Caenorhabditis elegans: one gene and its partner. The protein of the gene in region 1 purifies or fractionates together with the protein of each later gene. This does not show direct contact. Each region holds a gene or a part of one and is shown in the gene's direction. Other genes may lie near its edges.

Region 1 (10,514 bases):
CGATCTTGGAAACTGTTGTAGTATTCTTTGCAGTGTTTCAGGTTTTCGGTGGGATAAATCATTTCACACTCTTAAAAATTAGAGTGATTTCAAATTTTATGTGACTTGACTCACTTGAGTAAGATCCCTGTATAATTGTGTTTGCTTTGTAGCCACATTCTTGATGAAACAGGGTGCCGTGATTTGCTGTCCAGCTATTACCAATGATCATTAATTTGTATTTCGAAGTCGCATTCAAACCCTAAACTATGAGCCTAATGTGGTAGTTTTGAATCAATCCTAATACCGTGTGATTGCACCATCCAAATGGACCGTTTTGCTCATATTTACAATTTTTCACATACAGATTCCCAGTGTCTCCTCTATTCCAGTTGTTGTTCTGTCGGATTACATCGTCAATTGTAATATTGTCAGTCGACGTCAAGTTAGCTTTCTTTTGAATTGCGAATTGATCACGTTCTACCAGAACTATATTCAGAGCGAATAGTAATACAACGAGCAGTGCAAGTTTTGTAGATGTTAGTTTGAGGTACCATTTCTCAAAAGTTTCAAATATAAGGGCAGCCAGTAGAATTGAGATGAGCAATGCAGCAACAAGCACTGAAAAAAAGATGAAAGTTGAACGTTTTACTATTGTTTTATCTAATCCTAAGCGTTTGTTACACGACAAGGAGTTCCGTTATTGCCATTTAGACTTACATAGCTTGTTGCCTTCGTAAGTGAGCTTCCAGTAGGAATAAATAGGCCAGTGAATTAGATAAAGTGAATATGAGATATCTCCAATGTAGGTTAACACTCTATTTGACAGAACTGCATTATCTTCAGATATAAGCATTAAACATCCCGTCCCAATAGTCACAAGTGGTCTGCAAATGTTTATATACATAGGACAGAATAATAACGAAATTAAACTTTCTTATTGCCAGAAATATTAAATTATACTGACGGCTGCTTAAGCCATGTACAAAACTATTAGAAAAAAGAGGTTGTACCTTATAACTGACGCATCTAATGAGGTTGGAAGTAAAGTTATGAGGACTAGGCCGGTTAATAGCAAATATGCGATGATCGTTGTAGGATCACAACGCTCAGAATGCGTGTTGGATTTACTGCTAACATATTTGCTGTCGTCATCAGTGAGCAAGCTCTCAAAAGCTTCTGTCTCTTTTGTAAGCTCGACGTATTTCACACCTCTTTGCTGCTCAGAATAATCAAGTAGATACACAATTATTCCTGAAAATTTCTACCTATCAAAAATTTTGGAAAAAACACGCAACTAACCAATTGAAAACTGCCAAATCCTCGCAAAAACGCTATTGAATGCTACCGATTGAGGGGATGAGAAGAAAAAAGAATATGACACAATTCCTGGAATTCAGCTTTGTTATAGAAGGTATAAGATTATATATAATATATAAGACTATAAATATATAAGACTAGTCTTGGCTAAAAAAACAAAAATAAAAATCTTGGATTTTCGGTAGAATTTTCATAGCATTCGATAGGAATTTTTTTAAATGTAATATTATGGGTACATTTTTGGACCTGGAAATTCAATTTCAGCCGCTCTTGAAGGTGCCTATATAAATATATATATAAGTATGTATACGTATATATAAGTATATATATATATACTATATATAAGGTACCTATAAAACCAACCTATAAATGCGTAGTACCCATTTTCAAATTTTGATGGCAATTTTGTGGCTAACAGGAAGATGAAAGGAATTAAAAAGTAAAATTGAATTTCAACTGACAACGACCAGGTATGAGTGAATATGTCTATTGCTTTTGTGAGCTGGAATTATAGGATGTATCAATCAAATCGGAATTATATACCATCATAAAGTAATCCTGTGCTTCTGTTTTTGGAGTATTTGACACAAACAATAGAGCCCGTATCGCAGATTCCTGATTTGTTTCAACTACGATGTCCGGGAAAAATGAATAGAGACAAATCATGGAACAAAATATGATTAGTAGTAAAGTGGTAGAATTCTTTTAAATCTTTTGCTATAGAATATAGTTATCAGAGTACATGGTGGCTCCTTCTCAGCTCTCTTTAATAGCATACACATAAGAAATCCAGATAATACAAAGAATCTGAAAATAATAATTATAGTTTCATAAATTAGAAAAATTGGTACACTTACTGATCAACACCTAAATATCCATTTGGAAAAGTGTCAGGGTAAAAATGGAAACCGAGAACTGCAATTATAGCCAAACCACGTATACCTTGTAGGTCAAATCTTTTTTGTGATGGTTTTATTGGCGAGTAACCCATCTGAAATTTTCTATGTTATTTTGAGATGAAAATAGAAATTTAAGAAATTAAAAGTGAACACGGAAACTGAAACATATATGTTTGTGTTATGAACTCACAATAAAACGAAACACAAATTGAATATACCTCCCTACATAAAAAAAAACGGAACATACATGTCTCTATAGAATCAGGTTGAGTTATGCGTGGAAAATAAATCGTTGAAAAAAAAGAAAAAATGCCAATTGTCCGAATAAGAAACTCTTTCAATGTTTGCTCTTCAGATTAAAAAGTGAGCCACGGTTGATAAAACGAGAGTCCAAATATTTCAGTCGTTTTAAAACAAGAAGTTTGAATTCTCTAGTGCACTTAATGTTCACCAAATTCAAATAAAAAGCACAAATTTCATCCCGTTTCTTGAAAACCTTCACAACTATCCAATAGTTAATTTCATTCCTAAGAATGCAATAAATTTTTCCTCTATCAGCACACAACAGTACACATTTCACACCCTTTTAGAAATTGCTTCAGGAAATCATTCAAAAAAGTGATGACCGCGAGTTTGCAAGCATGTTTATTTTGAAAAATACATGATATTGCAAAATAAATAGCTGGAAGCATTATGAAATAAATATAAAATCGGAATAGGGCAAATTCATTTATTCGAGACCATTTATTACACTACCCATATAAAATTTAAATACTGAAAACCAAAGGACATTTATTAAAATTCAAATTCAACAAATGTAATGCTGCTTTTCAACGTTTATAGATTAAGGTTATACTATAAAAAGAACCATAAAAATAATCGCAAAGAGCACCTCCATACCAAAGAATTCACTATTTTTCCATAGGTTCCTTTTTATCAGTGGAAAATGAGTCGTAAAAGTAAAGGAAGTGTTGTAGAAGTGAACTACGTTTTAACTAATAGGCATGGATATGAATAAAAATAAAACGATCAGAATGACTTTATATGTTAACCAGCGTTGATAAAACAGCAGTGCAAATATTTCCAGTTGTTTTAAAACAAGAATTTTGAATTATACAATGTATTAAACATTCACCAGATTTAAATAAAAAGTAAAAATTTCATTCAGTTTCTTGAAAACCTTCACAATTGTTTCACATATTTATAAAAATGCAATAAATGTTTCCTCTATCAAAACACAAAATTTTTGTTTATAGACATTTCACACCCTTTTAGAAATGCCTTCAGGTAACCATTCAAAACGGTGCAGACAACAAGTTTGTAAGCATTTGAAAAGTATACAAAAACACGATGAAAGGATTATGAAATCAAAAAATCAAACAAAAATCGTGGGTTTTCGAGTTTGAAGTACTCTCAAGTTGAGATGTGGTTGCCATTAGCATTAGCAACACTCAGATGATCTTCATGTGATTCGTTGTTCAAATCTGAATATTCATTTTTCCAAGAAAATCACTTCATATATTTGAGACCATTTATTAATACTACCTATAACAAAGTTTAAATACTGAAAACTCTAATACTTCAGGATCATCATAGTTTCGCACAAACATCCGTCCAAATGTGTCCCAACAAGTTTACTGATGTGTCTGAGACAAAACATACCATTTTTGCAGAAATAATTTTCTTCGCCAAGTTGCATATTTGCGGATTATTTACAAAATTCTAGCTTAAATAGAAGATCCGTCCAATTTCAACGAATTCTTTCCTGTATTTCCGGCTTTGCCTTTGCTTTTCTTTGTTTTTGAAATGAGATCTAAGCCAATTTAAACACTTTCAATTTAAACGGACATTTCGCAAAAAGTCTGTGTAAACACTACAAAAATCACAAAAATCTCTACCACTCCCAAAAAAAAAATCAAAATAAAAACGCTAAAAATAGAATGAACGCCACCCTCAGTAGGTAAACAATACAGTACTCTTTTCATACAAATTAGGACTTATTTTAAAATCAAGTTATAGACAACGGGAATACATAGAATACTTGGCATTCACTTTAAGCTTTCACCAACTTTTTATCACGCGGCGCTGTGTAAAATGAAGATCAATTTTTGAAGTTTCAAAAAAATAATTTTTTTTCAGTTGTAATTAAGTTTCGAATTTCAAAGTTGCCTAGTGCAATAATCGTTGGTAAGATGGTAAGATAGGTTGCGCTAGAAAACTCAAAGTTTTGTCTGACGTGGTATAAACTTGGTTAGAAATCTAATGAATGCTAAAATTAAAAAAAAGCTTTATGTACTCCAGTTGTCTTTAACAAATTGCTGATTTTATTCCAAAATTGTCCCAATTTGCATTAAAAGACTACTGTATTGTCTACCTATCGGCTGCTGGGGGTGGCGTTCTTTTTTTGAACCATTTTGATTCTGCTTCACTAAGCTGGTAGAGATCTTTGTAGTGTTTACACAGGCAACATGACCTTTTAAATTCGAGCGCAAGTTGAGGTAGGCCTATTTTTAAGGGTGAAGATTACATGAGGGTCCTACCACAACTTGATGATTATGGTATAATTATCCCCGCAAATATCTATGAAAAGCTTCATGGACTACCATCATGACATCTGACAAAATACATTGACTGTAACAAAACCACGACATACAAACAAAAAACAGCTACACTTGGCAAGTCGGAACCACTTCTTCACAAACTTTAGCCACGTGGAAAAGTTGGTTAAAATTGGTCGAAGTTGGTTAATTTGGGCAGTATTTTCACGCTCTGAACAACTGGAAAAAACTTGGTGAGAGTTGACGAAGATTGGCGAAAGTTGGTTAAGAAGTGAACAAAGTTGGTTAGAATACAGAAAAATTTGTTTGGAAAATAGTTGAAATCTAATGAATGTTAGAAAGTGGCTAAAATTGGTTGAGAAGTGGCCACGAATTGCTGAGTACGTGAACCATTTAAACTGTTATACAGTCACCGTCTTCCTAGTAGTTTGATATACTTCAAACAACTGTTCTGATAGTGAGATACAGTTAAAGACAATGATCCTTATAGACAATAAATGAAAATTTCCGCCACAGATGACTAAACTACGTGTAAAATTATTGGCCAGTGATGTTTAGAATGTTTGAACAACTGTTAGGATGTTAATTTTCGAGTCGAATCGGATAATTTATGTAGAAACTGAGCAAGAGTAAATAAAAAGGTCCATTGTTTGATTCCTAGAATTTTCGAATAAAAAGAGGAGAGCTATGGGTGAGGTGCACAATTGAGAGAAGCTCTTGCAAAAAAATGTCATCCCTAGGCTCCACAACTTCTTCTTCCACTCCATCAAGCCAAACTTCTGAACTATGCGCTGTTTGTGGTGGGAAAGCGAGTAGCAGTCGGTATGGAGCCTTGTCTTGTATCGGATGTCTTGTATTCTTCCGAAGAATGACTTGCGGCGAGAAAAAGTGGTATTGCCTGCGGAATCGGAATTGCGAGATCAATATAGGTAACTATTTACATAAGAGTTTTGAAGCGCAATAACAACCAATCGGTGTTCTTTAGCTACAAGAAACACATGCCGTGCATGCCGACTTCAGAAATGCCTGAACGTAGGAATGAATCCAAATGGTTAGTTTTATATTAAATCTAGCCAACAAGGCCAATTTTCAGCCATTCAGCGACGGGACGAAATTGGGCCGAGAAAACCGAAGGTTTCTAAGGTAAGAAACTTGAGTGGTTTGTTGCAACTACAACAAAACCACTAAATGCAGCATCGGCTAACTTGCGCTCAAAATTTTAGTTTTTCGGGAGAAACACAGAACAATGTGAGTTGCCAATCTTACTAACGATAAGAGCATAGTAACGAGATTCAGCAGTGACTCGAAACCAGGGGAAGGCGCAATCAAACTTTTGGCAATTTCGGCAATTGCTGCCGATTGCCAAAAAATTGCCGGAAATCAGAACTGCCGGAAAAATAAATTTGATAATTTTTGTAGATTTAAGAGCATATACAAATTTTATCTTTTCATATTTAAAATCATTGAATCCTTGCTGGATTGAACGCTTTCTGTTAGAAAATGACTAATCGAATACTGAAAAACAAGGTGAAACATTTTCAATTTCCGAAACATAACATTCCGCAATTGCCGGAGTTGCCGATTGCCCGAAAAATTTTTGTTTGGCAACTGTAAAAATTTCCGATTGCCACACACCCCTGCTTGTGTAGTAATTTTACTGTAGAACACCAACTGATATCTTCAAATTGAATTCCTTCAAACTATTACACAAAAATAAAAGGGATGTAATTTATACTGAAACATTCACTTCATAGCATACTCCTGCAACTTAATAAAAACATTTATATAACTTTGTAAAAAGCTGTTAAGAATTTGCGAAAACCGACGGGATTGTGAGCGAAATTTAGCTTTACATCTGCTAAGAAATTGCAAAAGTCGTCTGAAAAGCTGCAGAAGTTTGCTTAAAAGCTAAAATGCCTAATTGTTGTTAAGAAGTTGCAAGAGTATGCTATGAATTTAGGCCGTTTTGCCGAGATGGTCGAGTAGCGCCAGTGGGGATTTTGTCTAAATGCACTTATAATGATCCAAAACAACGGAATATCATAATAAAACACTCAAAAAAATTTAGATTTTTCATAATTTCCGCTGAAAGTTTTAGCAAATTGCCGAAATTTTGAAAAATACGAGCTTTTGAGGAAATTTAAACCAATCTCGCATGTTCCGGCCCCTACAATGTTTTAATACATTTAATTAAAACATAATTAAAACATAAAAAATGTCGAAAAAAACATTTTTTTTTTTGGTCGGCTTCCAAAATTATGAGTGTCAAAATCTGAGTAATTGCCACTTTTTGACAGTAAATAAAAAGTTTTCAAAATTGTATTGAAAAGTTTTATCATGATATTTGGTCATTTTGGGACCAAAGGAGTAGTTTTAAACAATTTCCCCACTGGCGCTACTCCACCTTTGGTGTATAATTTTCAATCGGTATGCTTTAATTCTGCAAAAACCACTGCTTCAGTTCAGCCAAAAGCAATATAACGCTGCAACCTCGAGCGAATGTGCAATGTGCCTACATATAGGATTTCAAAATGCATTGGAATGGGCAAATCAACTCGAGTCTTTTTCAATGTTAAGCCATGTAGACAAGCAGAATATTTTATCAGAATATGGTATTGCATTCACACTTATTGATCAAGGTTACAAGACGGCACGCGATGCTGATGAACAATGCTGGTTACTTCAGAATGGCAGTGTGCTGCATTGTGAGCAACTTTTCAACAGTTCTGAGTGAGTTCTTGAATTGAATATACTTTTAGTCTGAAGTTTTTCAGTGCTGACTTGGTCAACCAGTTGATTGCAAATATCAGTCAGCCATTGAAACGTCTAGAACTAGATGAATATGAATGTGGCCTGCTGAAATCATTGCTTCTGCTGTCTTGTTAGTTTTTTTTCTAAATTTAATGAGTACTTAACTTATTTTTTTGCTGATTCCAGCCTCGTTTCCTGGCGAAGTGCAACTAAACTCACAGCAATCTCGAGCAAAATGTTTAACAGAAATGCTACAACACAGAAATGATCCAGAACGGTTTGGAGAAATTATTTTACTAATCGGTTCAATTAGAAGTTCAGTTAAATTATTTTATAACCAAACGAAACGTTCAGACCTTTTCAATGTTCTCAATTTTAGTTATTTTGTTAGGAATAATATGGCTTGTTGAACTTGTTAACTTGATTTATGTATTTTAAAAATGTCGAAATTGAGAGTAAACAACTACACTGCAACTTATTTTTTGAACGAGGGACGAGGAAAAGCGGTTTCTAAAAAATTGCTCATCTGTAAACGTTTACGCATTGTGTTTGAATATGTTGTGATTTAATCTTTCTCGAGTTTATAACAATCAAAACACTCACTAATATTAATGAAAATTACATTTACTGCTGTAGTCGATAATAGTCTTTTTGAATGTTAGAACTGATCTTTTCACCTAGATCCCATTTAATACGTTAATACACTTCTTACAATTTCACTGATTAGCAAAAGTCACGGAGAATTGTACATAAACATGGGCCAGTTTGTGATTCTGATAAATAGTCACAAGTTCAAATGAAACTTTACAAATTGTCCCAAATTATTCAATTGCGAGTTTGAACCTGAAAAGTCTAAGTTTTCCAACAATTTCTACAAAATTCCAGCCTACCTCTTCACTTTCCACAGAATTTGGGTGTAGTATGGGATGCAACAACTGCATTTGTCATAAAGATAAACTGTGGGGAACACTTAAACCTTTACTGGTAGTCAGCGAGTGTCACTGATTTTTGCTAACGCGTATCAGTGGTAGTTGCGATCCACCAGCTTTAGTTTCTCGTTTATTTTAAAAGTAGTCCCCTCGAATGTTCTTCTCGTTTTACCGTTTCCCGTTTTCTGATTATTCTGGCAGTGCGATTAGTCGCTATTCTCGTGCTGTATCTTCAAGAGGATTCTCGGATTCAATGGATTGGTAGCTAACACTCGGGAAGCTTAGGAGCACATTTGCAAGTCGAGCGACGATGGATTCGGTGGAAAGTAAGGTCAGTTTAGTGAAGGTCGGCTGAAGTTAGGGGTAGTACACCTGACGTACTGGTAAGAGAACCATCTATCTTATAAGCACGACACCGCTGTAGGGTCACATCGAATGCTTTCCCTGCCTCCTCAGGGGAAGTATTCACACATCTGGATTTCGTAACTTCGTCGGGGAGTGTTAAAATCAAATATGTTTAGCACTCTGGGGTCAAAATTTAACAATTTTCGCTCATTATGTTTACCTCTTATTTTAGGAAAAACTTTTAATAAAATGTTGCAGACGGGTTTGAGTAGTGTCTCATTTTTCAAGACCGATTAGCCACAAATCAGGATTTCGAGCTCCAACTCAAATTCACTTTCCAACCGTCTCCGCACGGGTTCTCCTCTATTAAAAATAGTGTTTCGTGCTCATGGATGCAGTAGTGGCAGACTGGCAAATCCGCCGAGCTGAATTTCCTTCCTGAAGAAGACCGGTATGCAGTGGAGCGAACTCAGATGGAGATTGGTTGTGCTTCAACGTGGCATTTGGCTGAAGCGGCGTCGGTGATGATTAACGAGTTGGTCAGAGTTTCGCATAAAGGATTTGGAGAGTCAGGTAACTGAAGGTTTCGGTTGTTTTTGAAAATTTCTAGTGAGGCTTGTGAGAGTCTCACTCTGCGGACTCAATTCCGTGCATTTTATAATTGGTGTTAGAGGTGGAGGAAAATTTGTTAATTCCTGAAGCGCAGGTGGCGCAGAAGGAGGTGAGATGATCGAGGAGTCCTCGAGAAATCAATCGTTGCAAAAGCAGCAAAACCGAGTACCGCGTCGGATGGGGCGTGTCAGCATAAGAGGAGTATGTTTGACAGCAGGTAGCTCGATGGGAAAATAATTAAAAATCATCGTGAGAGATGAGTTCACGGGTTTCGAATGCAATAATTTCGTTACTGATGTGAGTCCGTTGTCAGTAGCGGAAAAATTCCAGTTTATATTCATCTTGTTCAGACAATCGATAAGTTTGTTCAAGAAGGTCGCAAGAGATGATGATACAGGTAGAGAAATGAGATTTCTCAAGTGTCCTTTGGGAGACCCAAGAGTGGCGAAAATCAGGATGTATTTCTACAAGAAATTCGGTGAGCAATCGAGGAGCTCATACGATCGGAGGTCGGTCGTGGAAGAGGATGCGGGACGGAACAACAAGTTCACATGAAGATCAAGACAAGTGGCAGTCGAGGATCGGGTCCAGAGCATCAAGAAGACGGAAAGTCGATGGTCAATGGCTAGCGGAGGAACGCAGGAAGAATCTAAGATTCTAATGTAAGTATTTCATTCAAAATATTGCGGTATCATGACCGTGCCTTTATTCGTGAAGCCAGTTGACAAAGTGAAAACTGATATAATGTGTCAGTGTGTGATTTTAAAATCGATACAGCGTCTGTAACGCTGTAAAAGAATCCAGTATGGATTGGGCAATTATTTTTGCCGTACCTGACTTTGGAAAGTCTTGCTGATCGCCAACGGAGGATCCAAGAGCATCGGATGTGGCGAGTCAGCGTAATGCAGTTCAGCATATTTGATTGTGGAAGCGGAAGAAGAAAGACGTCATCCTGTCGAGTAAGGTAAATTTTTGTTTGTTTTCTTCCTCCCGGTCTCAGAACCGGTTTTATTTTCCACATTAATCATACATTTTCGAGACAGAAATTTTTCCGTTAAGAAAGGTGATTGAAAACCATTGAGGTTCAACATTTTGAACGCAAATCTTTGAAGAATTTTAGA
Region 2 (11,577 bases), on another chromosome or scaffold:
GTAGGTTACTAATATGTGAAGCTTTTAAAAACTCCATAAATTTTGTGAACTCCACAGCTAGGATCAAGGGTGCCGATTTATCGTTTTTCAGGAAAACATTTTTTTGTTTACATTTTTTTAAAAAGTTGCGGGTTTTCTCGTTTTAGAATAAATTCATGTTTCCTTAATTTTTTTTTCATCAACACAAAAAATTGATTATTAAACATTTTCTTAAAAAATTTTCCGATTTTTCGTTTTTCAGGAAAATCGAAATTTTTTCGCTTTTCCGATATTTCGAAAAATATTTCATTTTTAGAGTTTATCTTCTTTTTAGAAGAAAATTATGTTTTCTTATGATTTTTCCCATCAACAAAACAATAATTTTTTGAAACTGATTTTTCTTTGTTAACTTTCTAAATTTTTTTATTTTTCAGGAAAATCGAACAATCGAAAATTGTTCATTTTTCATGATACCCTAAAAATATAAAGTTTGATCGATATAATCTATTTCAATCTTATGAAAATTTTTAAAATAAACTGACCAGAATCGGATGTTGCTTCGGTAGCTGAGAGGTTCCATTGTTCTTCCTCATCGACTTCATCATCACTATCTTCTTCAATCGTTGTTACTACCCATTGTTTTCCAACCAATTTTTCATTGCACTTGAAATTTTCAAGGGCTTTCATACTACTTTGATACATTTCCAATGCCGAATTATGCTCGTTAGTCATCAAATCCTCAGCAGGAGAAACACCATCCGAGAAGGAATACTTTCCAAAACCAACAGAGAATAAACTTTGATTTTCCATATCAAATCCAGAAGACTTGTAGTTTGATATTGGTCTAGAAATCTGGCTGCAGCGAGTTTCAGAGTTACAGCGAGCAAAATCATATTGTATCAGAGCCGTGAAGTACGTGAATTTCTTGTATGAAACCAGTTTTTGAAGCTGTTTGAGAATGAAAATATGTTCATCGCAAGGTTTTTCAGCATACTTTGAAGCGTCACGTGGGTTCAGAATGAGTTTTCCGTCCGGTAAGATCTCAATCAACGTTTCAGTGTTAAGCTCTGGTTGTGTGACATACTGCAATTTTTTAATTGAAGGCAAAATTTGATGTTCAAACAAATTTACGTTGAAAATCGCCGTCCGAATCGCGTATACTTCGTTAAAATGAACGTTGAATGACCGAAGGGATTGAAGAATACAAGCTAAAACGTCGTTGGCAGTATTCGTGATATGAACCCTTAAGAATATTGTTTAAATTTGGCCAAATTCAGAGTTATTACCATTGAATCAGAAGTTGAATAATCCATGATTTTTCTTCCATAGGCAACGGTTCTGCGACCATTGCAATCATTGATTGGCATGAAATGTGTGCCATATCGTCGTCCTTCATTGTATGGCTTCTCAGTGACTCGATAATTTTTTTCGCGAGGGGTTCGATTCCATCCTTGCTTTGATAATACTGAGTTATGTGGCTGAGAAGAACTCCTCCTCCTCGCGGACGAGGCAAATAGTCTTGCATTGAAAGTTCGTTGAGAGCATGAATTGCGTCCAGTACACTAATATTCATTTCTGAAAAAATTAATTAAATTGTAAATTAAATATGCCAAAAGATAAACGAACGTTTAAGTTTAAAAAGGTCTCCAGATTAATTAGGGAAACTATTTTCAGAAAGAAAAATTCTGAAGGTTCCACAAAGTATTACTGGTATGGCAAAAAGTGCGATGCAAGGATACTGAAATTGTATTCAGAAAATCCCAAATTGAGTTTTTAAAAGGCTCATACGAGCAGCATAGGACAAGGGTCTCGCCACGTTCGTCCTCTACAGTACTCCCGCGCGGCAAATTTCAAATCTTTTGCGCGCGAGTTTCTGAGTTTCCATTCATTTAAAATTTTTTGGTTTGCAAACGCCAAACTTGTACTTTTTCCTGGAAGTTCGAAGATGTCTGACGATTGGGATAATAATACTGCTGCAGGTTTTTATAAAATTTTAATGAAATATTTAATGCTGATTTATTGTAGCGAAAACCATCAGTTTTGGAAGCAATCCATCAGGGTTTGGCGGAGGATCGGGATTCGGTAGCGGTAACACTGGTGGTTTTGGAAGTGGAAATGCAGGCGGGACGGGATTTGGTAGTAGCAACAATGGTGGATCTGGATTCGGCGGTAATAACAACGTTGGACCCAGATTCGGCAATGGAAATGCTGGTGGAACTGGATTCGGCAGTGGAAATGCTGGTGGAACTGGATTCGGCAGTGGAAATGCTGGTGGAACTGGATTCGGCAGTGGAAATGCTGGTGGAACTGGGTTCGGCAGCGGAAATGCTGGTGGAACTGGATTCGGCGGTGGAAATGCTGGTGGAACTGGATTCGGCAGTGGAAATGCTGGTGGAACTGGATTGGGCAGTGGAAATGCTGGTGGAACTGGATTCGGCAGTGGAAATGCTGGTGGAACTGGATTCGGCAGTGGAAATGCTGGTGGAACTGGATTCGGCAGTGGAAAAGCTGGTGGAACTGGATTCGGCAGTGGAAAAGCTGGTGGAACTGGATTTGGCGGTAATAGCAACAGTGGATCTGGTTTTGGTAGCGGATTGACCAATGGATTTGGTAGTGGCAACAATCATGAATCTGGGTTTGGTGGAGGAAAATCAGGAGGTTTCGGTGGAGGCAACTCTGGTGGAAGTGGCTTCGGTTCAGGAGGTAACTCGAATGGATTCGGAAGTGGTGGTGGGGGACAAGATCGAGGCGAAAGGAATAATAGTATGTTTGCTACTTGAAATCTATATCTTCACGTTGCTTTTAGATTGTTTCAATTGCCAGCAGCCAGGACATCGATCGAATGACTGTCCAGAGCCGAAAAAGGAAAGGGAACCCAGAGGTTTTAGCTTAAAATGTTTTTAGACGTAATCTGTTTTATTTTTAGTGTGTTACAATTGCCAGCAGCCTGGTCACAACTCTCGCGATTGTCCAGAAGAGCGGAAACCGCGTGAAGGCCGAAATGGATTCACCGGTGGAAGCTCTGGTTTCGGAGGAGGAAATGGTGGTGGAACTGGATTCGACAGTGGATTAACTAACGGATTTGGTAGTGGTAACAATGGTGAATCTGGCTTCGGTTCGGGAGGTTTTGGTGGTAACTCGAATGGATTCGGAAGCGGCGGTGGGGGACAAGATCGAGGCGAAAGGAATAATAGTATGTTTGCTGCTTGAAATCTATCTCTTCACGTTGCTTATAGATTGTTTCAATTGTCAGCAGCCAGGACATCGATCGAATGACTGTCCAGAGCCGAAAAAGGAAAGGGAACCCAGAGGTTTTAGTTTAAAATAATTTTTAGACGTAATTTTTCATTTTTAGTGTGCTACAATTGTCAACAGCCCGGTCACAACTCTCGCGATTGTCCGGAAGAGCGGAAACCGCGTGAAGGCCGCAATGGATTCACCTCTGGTTTCGGAGGAGGAAATGATGGTGGATTCGGTGGCGGAAATGCTGAAGGCTTCGGTAATAACGAGGAACGTGGTCCGATGAAATGCTTCAACTGTAAAGGCGAGGGGCATCGCTCTGCAGAATGTCCGGAGCCACCACGTGGATGTTTCAATTGTGGCGAGCAAGGTCATCGCTCGAATGAGTGTCCCAATCCAGCCAAGCCAAGGGAAGGTGCTGAAGGAGAAGGACCGAAGGCGACATACGTTCCAGTCGAAGACAACATGGAAGAAGTTTTTAACATGCAGAAAATTTCGGAAGGTCTCATGTTCAACAAGTTTTTTGATGCTGAAGTTAAAATCACGTCTGATAAAAAACCCGTTGGAGTTAAGACTTGTAAGACGTTCTCCGAAGCTAATCTGGGCGAAACAATGAAGAAGAATGTCGCACATGCAGGCTACACTAAGACCACTCCAATTCAACAATATACTCTTCCACTTATTCATCAAGGACATGATATCATGGCTTGTGCTCAAACTGGTTCAGGAAAAACCGCTGCATTCCTTCTGCCAATCATGGCTCGTCTGATTGATGAAAATGATCTGAACACTGCCGGAGAAGGAGGTTGCTATCCCCGTTGCATCATCCTGACTCCGACTCGTGAACTCACTGATCAAATTTACAACGAGGGAAGAAAGTTTGCTTATCAAACAATGATGGAGATCAGACCAGTTTACGGAGGATTGGCAGTGGGTTATAATAAGGGTCAGATCGAAAAAGGAGCCACGATCATTGTCGGAACTGTCGGAAGAATCAAGCACTTCTGTGAAGAGGGTACCATCAAGCTTGACAAATGCCGCTTCTTTGTTCTTGACGAGGCTGATCGTATGATCGATGCTATGGGATTCGGAACTGACATCGATACAATTGTCAATTATGAGAGCATGCCGAAGAAAGAAAATCGTCAGACACTCATGTTCAGTGCTACTTTCCCCGATTCTGTACAGGAAGCAGCTCGAAATCATCTGAAGGAAGGCTACATAATGCTTGCAATCGACAAAATTGGGGCCGCCAACAAGTGCGTCCTTCAGGAGTTTGAAAAGTGCGATAGAAGCGAAAAGAAGGACAAACTTCTGGAAATTCTAGGAATTGATATCGACAGTTACACGACAGAAAAAAGTGTGATTCTGTTTTTTTTATCGTTTATATATATCCCAATTTTCAGATTCTGAAGTGTACACTAAGAAGACTATCGTTTTTGTCTCGCAAAGAGCAATGGCTGATACGTTGGCCTCCATTTTATCATCGGCTCAAGTACCAGCAATCACGGTTGGTACAATAGTTTAACCATTATTAATTTTGTTTTCCAATTTAGATCCACGGTGCCCGTGAGCAGAGAGAGCGTTCAGAGGCTTTGAGACAATTCCGAAATGGATCGAAACCTGTTCTTATTGCTACTGCGGTTGCCGAACGTGGACTTGATATCAAAGGAGTGGATCATGTCATCAACTATGACATGCCAGACAACATTGATGACTACATTCATCGTATTGGAAGGTTAAATCAGATATTTCTAATGTTCATGTGCTAGCCATGTTTTTTTTAGAACGGGTCGAGTTGGAAACGCTGGAAGAGCCACCAGTTTCATCTCTGAAGATTGTAATCTTCTGTCCGAACTTGTTCGCGTTCTCTCTGACGCGGATCAACTGGTTCCAGAGTGGATGCAAGGAGCTTCAGGGGGAAATTTCGGAGCTAGTTTTGGATTCGAAAGCAGCGTTCCAACTCAAAAGCAAGATGAAGATTGCTGGTAGATGTATCTGCATATCCTTCAAATGTTGTCCATATTGTATCAGTAAATTATAATGCCCCCTTTTTATATATTCTCCTTATCATGTAAATGTTCTATTGATTTTTTGCTGGTGTAAAACGTTTTTATAGTAAATCCTCTCCACAGTGAATTTGTTAAATTGTATCAAAACAAGACATTGATTAAATTTGTTCGAGACTTGTGGATTGTAAAATATTTTGCAGAAAATGGCAATATTCATTTAGAAACATTACTTCCATAATAGGAAAAACTATTTATGAGTTTTCATGTGCCTATGCAAGTTCCCACTCTGTGTGAATTTCATCATACAAATTGAGCAAACATAAGGTTTATGTCCAGTATGGGTTCTCAGATGTTTTGTAAGAGTTGAGCTGTCGGTGAATGCCTTCTCACATTGAGCACATGGATACGGTCTCTCTCCAGTGTGTGTTCTGAAATAATGAAAAATAGTCTTGCAATATGTTTCTACTATTCGAGAAAAAATGTAATTTTTTTTCTTATGGTAACCTGCAATTTATATATTTTTTATTTGCCGTTATTGACATTATTATAAGAAATTGGAGGATATCACAAATATCGTAAATTCTCCAAAATTTTGACACTTCACTTTAAAGACAAATGCGGTTTTTCCGAGTGTGTCTCGCCACGATCTCAGTCATAATGGTCGCTACAGGTGCCAAACTTTAGGCATTTGTTATATTTGATGCAGAAAACCAAGCACATGAAAATTAAAATTGTCAAGTAGACAATGAAATCCAGACATTGTTATGATTCATTTTTTTGCGAATTCTCATAGACTCTATCCATCCAAACCTCTAAATCAATTTTCTTTAGTTCTTATAAAAATTCTTAATCCGGGCAGGGAAATGGAGAGGTATCATAATATTGTCATTTAGTGAATCCCTACAATTATCCAAATAAAAATTGGGATTAAGCTCAGCTGGGTGGCAGAAAGGAGCAGACAGGTGTGTGGGGATAGTAATGGACCCTTCCTCTAATACCTTCGATGAGTAACAAGAGAAGAACTTTGAGAAAATGGACGATTACATACAGGACACATAAATGGTTTTTCTCCTGAAAAAGTTATGAATTATTTGCAGTAAACTGATTGAAACTTCTCAACCTGTATGAATTCTTTTGTGAGCTGTTAGATTAGCTGCTTGAGAGAATGCTTTTCCACAAGTTTGACATCTGAAAGGTTTTGGTGTAGATCTTGCCATTGGTCGTTGTACTGGAAGAGGTTCTTTCTTTGGAAGGCGAAGAGATGGAGTTGGATCCATATAACAGAGACCGGATGGAGGGATCTGACTGAAATTAATGACAATTTTGGAATTCCTTTTATTCTTATTTGTCAATATGTAGTTATGTTTTAAATCTGAATAAAACTTATAATTAGGACGTTTAATATACAGCCCATTCGATTTTTCACAAAAAATATATGTTTGCAATTTTCCTCTCGGAAACACGGAAGCCGATCAAAGGCCTGCAAGTGATACGGTAACTCGCTCCCCGTTTTTTTTTTTCGATTTTTCACTTTTTCTCCTCAAAAACCATATTTGATGGAAATCTTAATACACATGAAATGTAAAAGATAAAACGCGGAAGAGTGGGTTACTGTAGCCTCGGTTTCCCAATATTCTATTCGTAACGAGAGCAGGTGCTGTTTTTTTTTTCTGAGGAACATCGATTCAAGAGTCTATCTCGTAACATCTGCAAAAAGTGTAAAAACAAACCGAAAAGAGTCTGTAGTTATATGATTTGATGTCATCATTTGTTGATTATTTCGAATATTTCCATCATTCGTTGCACCATGACTCATGGTTAATGTCCCATTCTCCATTTCCAACTGATTTCCAATCGACCATGACGACGTGGAATTCCAATCATGCTGTCGCCATCCTCCATATGCTCTAAAATGAAAAGCAACCCTTCAAGTGCAATAATTCATTTTTTCTATTGTAAGTCATCATCTTCTTCCTCATTTAGTCTCTAATTCCTCTAGTTTTTCTCTAATATTTCACATGTATGGGATCTTCTTTTTTCGGATTCCAGAAGCACTTGGGGTCCCACAGCTTCTTCACAAAAGAGCTTCTTGCATCAAATGAAACACTTTTGAATCCCTATTTCTGGTTAGGTTTCTTTTCTTTTTTCTGTGCTCCCAAACAAATCATTCTATTCGTTTAGACACTACTCGTCACGTTTATTTCCCTTTTTAAATGAAGTAGATATCTTATATTTATCACTTTTAAACCAATGCTTTGGTAATTACCGTTTCGCAGTTTTGTGAAAAGTCTACTTAAAGGCGCATGGTTCTCTTCAGATGGGTCTCACCACGACAAAAATTATTCGTACCTGTTTGTGAATCTTTTCAGGAGTAACAATTTATTTTATTTTTTATGTAACGATTTATAAACATCAAATAATAATGCGAAATTTTTTTATGGCACATCACAGAAAATTTGAACTTTACAATATAAATATCTTTTATCACTTCTTTCAAAAATATGTCAGATTATTTTTTTTTTCAATTTTTGCATTAAATATCAATATATTAAATTCACAATTTGGTATGCCCAATTATTTTTTATATCTAAATAGATATTCTAAAAGGTAGTCCTAACAGTTAATTGGAAAATCTATTAGATTAGCACTAGTTGAGTTCTTACCCATGATCACTTCCATTTTGTCCCTGAATAATTCCATTTTCAGTTTGTTGCAATGCTTGTTGAGTAGTTCCAGATGATGGCATTGATGACGTGCTATCAGATGCATAAAAATCTTGATATCCATGATGCATTTGCATCTGGAATTTTGATTAAAAAATTATTGGTTTTCGCAAAAAAATGGTTCAATTTATTTTTATTCATACTCCTTGATCGAAGCAATCTCTTCTATTTTAAGAAATTAGATCATATCAAAATATTGTCAACTACAACATAAAGATGAGTTGTTCTGTAGCTGACACTTCTTTGATGCTAGAGTCAAGTTCAAGACAAATTTTTTTTACTCAATATTAGAGAAGTAGCATGTACTTCAATAACAGGTTTTATTTTCAATTTCGTATTTCTATTAAAATGCTAACTATCAGTTGAAAATTAAATAGACTATACAAAATTTCACTTGTTTAATAATGTGAAGTTTATTATTTTCATAATTGTATTTTTTTTTTCTTGTTTTAAACTATCAAATATTAAGCATAATATTTAAAATACAAATTCTAGAGCCGTCAAAGTAGAGCAATGGTGGGCAACATTAATAGACGGTTTATTTAAATGAAAAAACAAAACTTTTCACCTAGTAATTTTTATATGAAACAAAATACTGTTGAGATATGAACTGTTTGAAATTTGAAAAATTATCGTACTTAATCTGAAAAGAAAGAGAAAACAGATTTCTAATCAATTTATAGTAACTTAATGGGTTCCCTATAGTTCAAATATTTATTGAATCGGGAAAACTTTTTCGGTTTAAAAAAATCCAAATTACCTGCGGAATATAATTCGCCGAATCGAAGAAATCGGTGTTATTATTATTCATTTGATAATGATAAGACATTATTTATTTCAATTAAAACAAGAGTTTAAAACTCAATTAATGATTTGCTTAGAAAAAATAAAATAAAAAGAGACTGAGATAATAACAGGTTGTACAGTAATCCTCTGAAGCTCCACCCTCTTTATTTTTGTGATGTTTTTGGCAGGAAGAGCAGGTGAGATTCGATGATGAGCTGAAGAAGAAGAGAAATTGGGAGAGAAGAGATTTTAATCCGAATACCGTAGTTTCTTCTTATCTATGAAAATTGTGGCTTCACTTACTAACAACTTCCTACACATTCTGATTCCTTATTTTTCAATTTTAGAGAACAATTTTGTTAGTTTTTTAGTTGTATAGTCATTGAAATTATTTTTTATTAGTTCTTTGGAATCAGTTGTCAAAGATTAATAATCATATCAAAACATATTAATTTATAGATCGGCGTGCCTGTTAGACATCAACGTAAAACTGACGATATATGGCCTTTTGAGGCCTTTTTAGGAGGAGTTTCTGATCGAGCGAGACTCGTACAGCATAACCTAGAGACCATGCAACACGAGAAAGTGGTGATTGTTCTTTGGCAATCTCTGTGATATTTCCTCTTCTCCTGAGAAGTATTACAGAAATAGGTTTAAGGTAGTTCCATTTCATACAGGTATACAAAAAAGTGCGAGCCCTTGAGTTTTAACCTAAATGCTCACCAGCGGACTCGTCATCCTTTTATTTTCCATTTGCACGTATCAGTTTTGAAATGTATTACTTGTGTTTGAAAACTGACAAAAATATCGGGTCATCAGCAATTCCGGTTACTTTGATCATTTTGACGGCTTGCCGAAAATCGTGAACAACAGTTGAAACGTTTTCGAACGTATAAACCAGAAGCCTAGGGTTGTTTTTTTTCTGAAAATTAATTGCGTATTCAATACTTCATAAATGAAAACTTTATTCAATTATTAAAAAAAAAATATTTTTAGAATTGTGATTCAACCTCATCATTCCGTTCGTTGTTTGATACCAAATGAATTTTGGGTGGACTCTGAAAAAAGGTTAGTGTGGCCATTGCATTATCAATAAGAAAAAATCTTACTTCTAATGCGTATGCCATTATATTAACAGATAGAAGAGGCAAAAGAGCGGTGAAACATGGAACATAATCCTCTGGTTTGTTCTTTAAAATTACAGAACTTAAATTTGAAACTTGATATTCGTAAACTCACAAAAAGAGCGCATATAATAATAATTGGCAACAGAGTGAAAAATCGAATAAGAGCACAACCCATGTTGCTCATAAAATATGGATTGATACGATCGGAACATTGAGGAGATACTGCATCCAAGTACATATTATGAATCATTAATGGACCTATTGATAATGATGTTATTATCACAAAACATAGACATTTCAGAGAAATTGCAAGACGAAGATTTACCTGGAATTAAAAAAATATATAAAAATTGTAAAATAAATCGTTTTTCAGTTCAATTTTTGATTTGAAATCTGTTGTTGAGTTGTTGTAAGTGTTTTTGGATGGAAACCAAGGAAACATTTTTATATAAAAATCCAGTACGGACTATATGAAAAGTGCCAAAGTTTGAGGAAAGTGACAAAAATACCAGTTTTTTAATTTCTAGCAACTGAAGCTTTGTAAAAATATCGGAAGCTTACAATTCCTGCACTCTCTTGATTCAAAAAATATAAACTTCTCAAAATTCCAAATATTATTTTTAAAAGTAATAAAAGGTCTTAACCTCATAAAAAGGGTATTAACGATTGTTCCCATCACAGATGGAAAATTTTTAAAACTTTATTTTCGATTGTTTTTTAAAATCAGGTTTTTCATCAACTCTTTAGCAACATCTTTTGGCAAGAGACTCAAATTTTTTTCAACAATTTACAGCAACCTTTTACACAGATTGATAAAACTGGAAAGTTTAATTTTCTGAATTAAAAATTGGTAATTTATCACTTTGCATGATTGTTAAGAGAGTGGAGTACGGACATTGGGGAAACGATTGAAAACTATTGCGGTGCTATTACGGTGCTCATTTGAGCAAATATCAAAATAAACTTTTTCGAAAAAATTGAAACAATTTTCATTTCGAGTCAAAAAGTGGTGAACACTGTATTTGCGCCACTGTTCGAGAAATTTAAAGCAATTTAGCATCATTGAAATGATTTTAAATCATTTCCCCAAAGTCCGTACTTCAATGAAGTTTTTACCTCAAAACCTTGAACGTTTTTCTTCAACAGAATGACTCCGAGTAGTAGCTGAATTGATATTACAATTGTGGTAAGACCCACTATTATCCATTTTCTTCGATTTGAAATAAATGGTGGAAAGAATTTTTTTAGAAGATGATAAATCAAAGGACATATTGTCGCATAAATTAATAATAAAAGTTGTATTCTATTTGCTTCAACTGAAGCAATTCCAGAATCAATAAGCATTTTTGATAGTTTGGTTGAAATTGTGAAATGTATTAATAAAAGCAGAAGGAATGACACGGTAGTTTGAAATATAGATATTGAATATGAAAAGAATGTTTTTAGAGTTAGAGGCATTGATATATTGGATGATGACATTTTCTATTTGAAAAGAAAAAGAAAAAAAAAAGAAAAATACCACTTAAAGCTTTTCTAAGAAAGTGGATGAGTGGGAGAGAAATGAAGAAAAAAGAAATAAACCACGCCCATCTTTTAGGATTCATTTCATCTTCTTACATTATCTAATTTTTTCGAGCAGAAGAAGGGCAAACATGGAAATGACAAGAGGAAGAAGAAAACGAACAAAAGAATTTGGGCACAATCTCATTA

The links.
Region 2: the proteins of nhr-242 (region 1) and glh-2 fractionate together in Caenorhabditis elegans (co-fractionation; one large-scale study listed by BioGRID). This does not show direct contact.

What each region holds. Positions count from the first base shown.
Region 1 is NC_003282.8:2,576,553-2,587,066, reverse strand, and holds nhr-242 (Nuclear Hormone Receptor family), read left to right. Parts: upstream 1-5,483; coding exon 5,484-5,685; intron 5,686-5,741; coding exon 5,742-5,807; intron 5,808-5,849; coding exon 5,850-5,899; intron 5,900-7,217; coding exon 7,218-7,486; intron 7,487-7,530; coding exon 7,531-7,637; intron 7,638-7,693; coding exon 7,694-7,917; 3' UTR 7,918-8,135; downstream 8,136-10,514.
Region 2 is NC_003279.8:6,512,097-6,523,673, forward strand, and holds glh-2 (ATP-dependent RNA helicase glh-2), read left to right. Parts: upstream 1-1,831; 5' UTR 1,832-1,924; coding exon 1,925-1,958; intron 1,959-2,004; coding exon 2,005-2,742; intron 2,743-2,785; coding exon 2,786-2,860; intron 2,861-2,905; coding exon 2,906-3,172; intron 3,173-3,215; coding exon 3,216-3,290; intron 3,291-3,334; coding exon 3,335-4,579; intron 4,580-4,625; coding exon 4,626-4,729; intron 4,730-4,775; coding exon 4,776-4,957; intron 4,958-5,006; coding exon 5,007-5,211; 3' UTR 5,212-5,411; downstream 5,412-11,577. Other genes in the region: C55B7.11 (Protein OSCP1), read right to left, coding at 522-1,062, 1,111-1,222, 1,266-1,552; che-1 (C2H2-type domain-containing protein), read right to left, coding at 5,479-5,659, 6,230-6,302, 6,352-6,536, 6,962-7,138, 7,895-8,031, 8,715-8,783; T10E9.5 (Serpentine Receptor, class Z), read right to left, coding at 9,733-9,798, 9,850-9,930, 9,980-10,192, 10,984-11,346. UniProt on the Caenorhabditis elegans protein: Probable ATP-binding RNA helicase.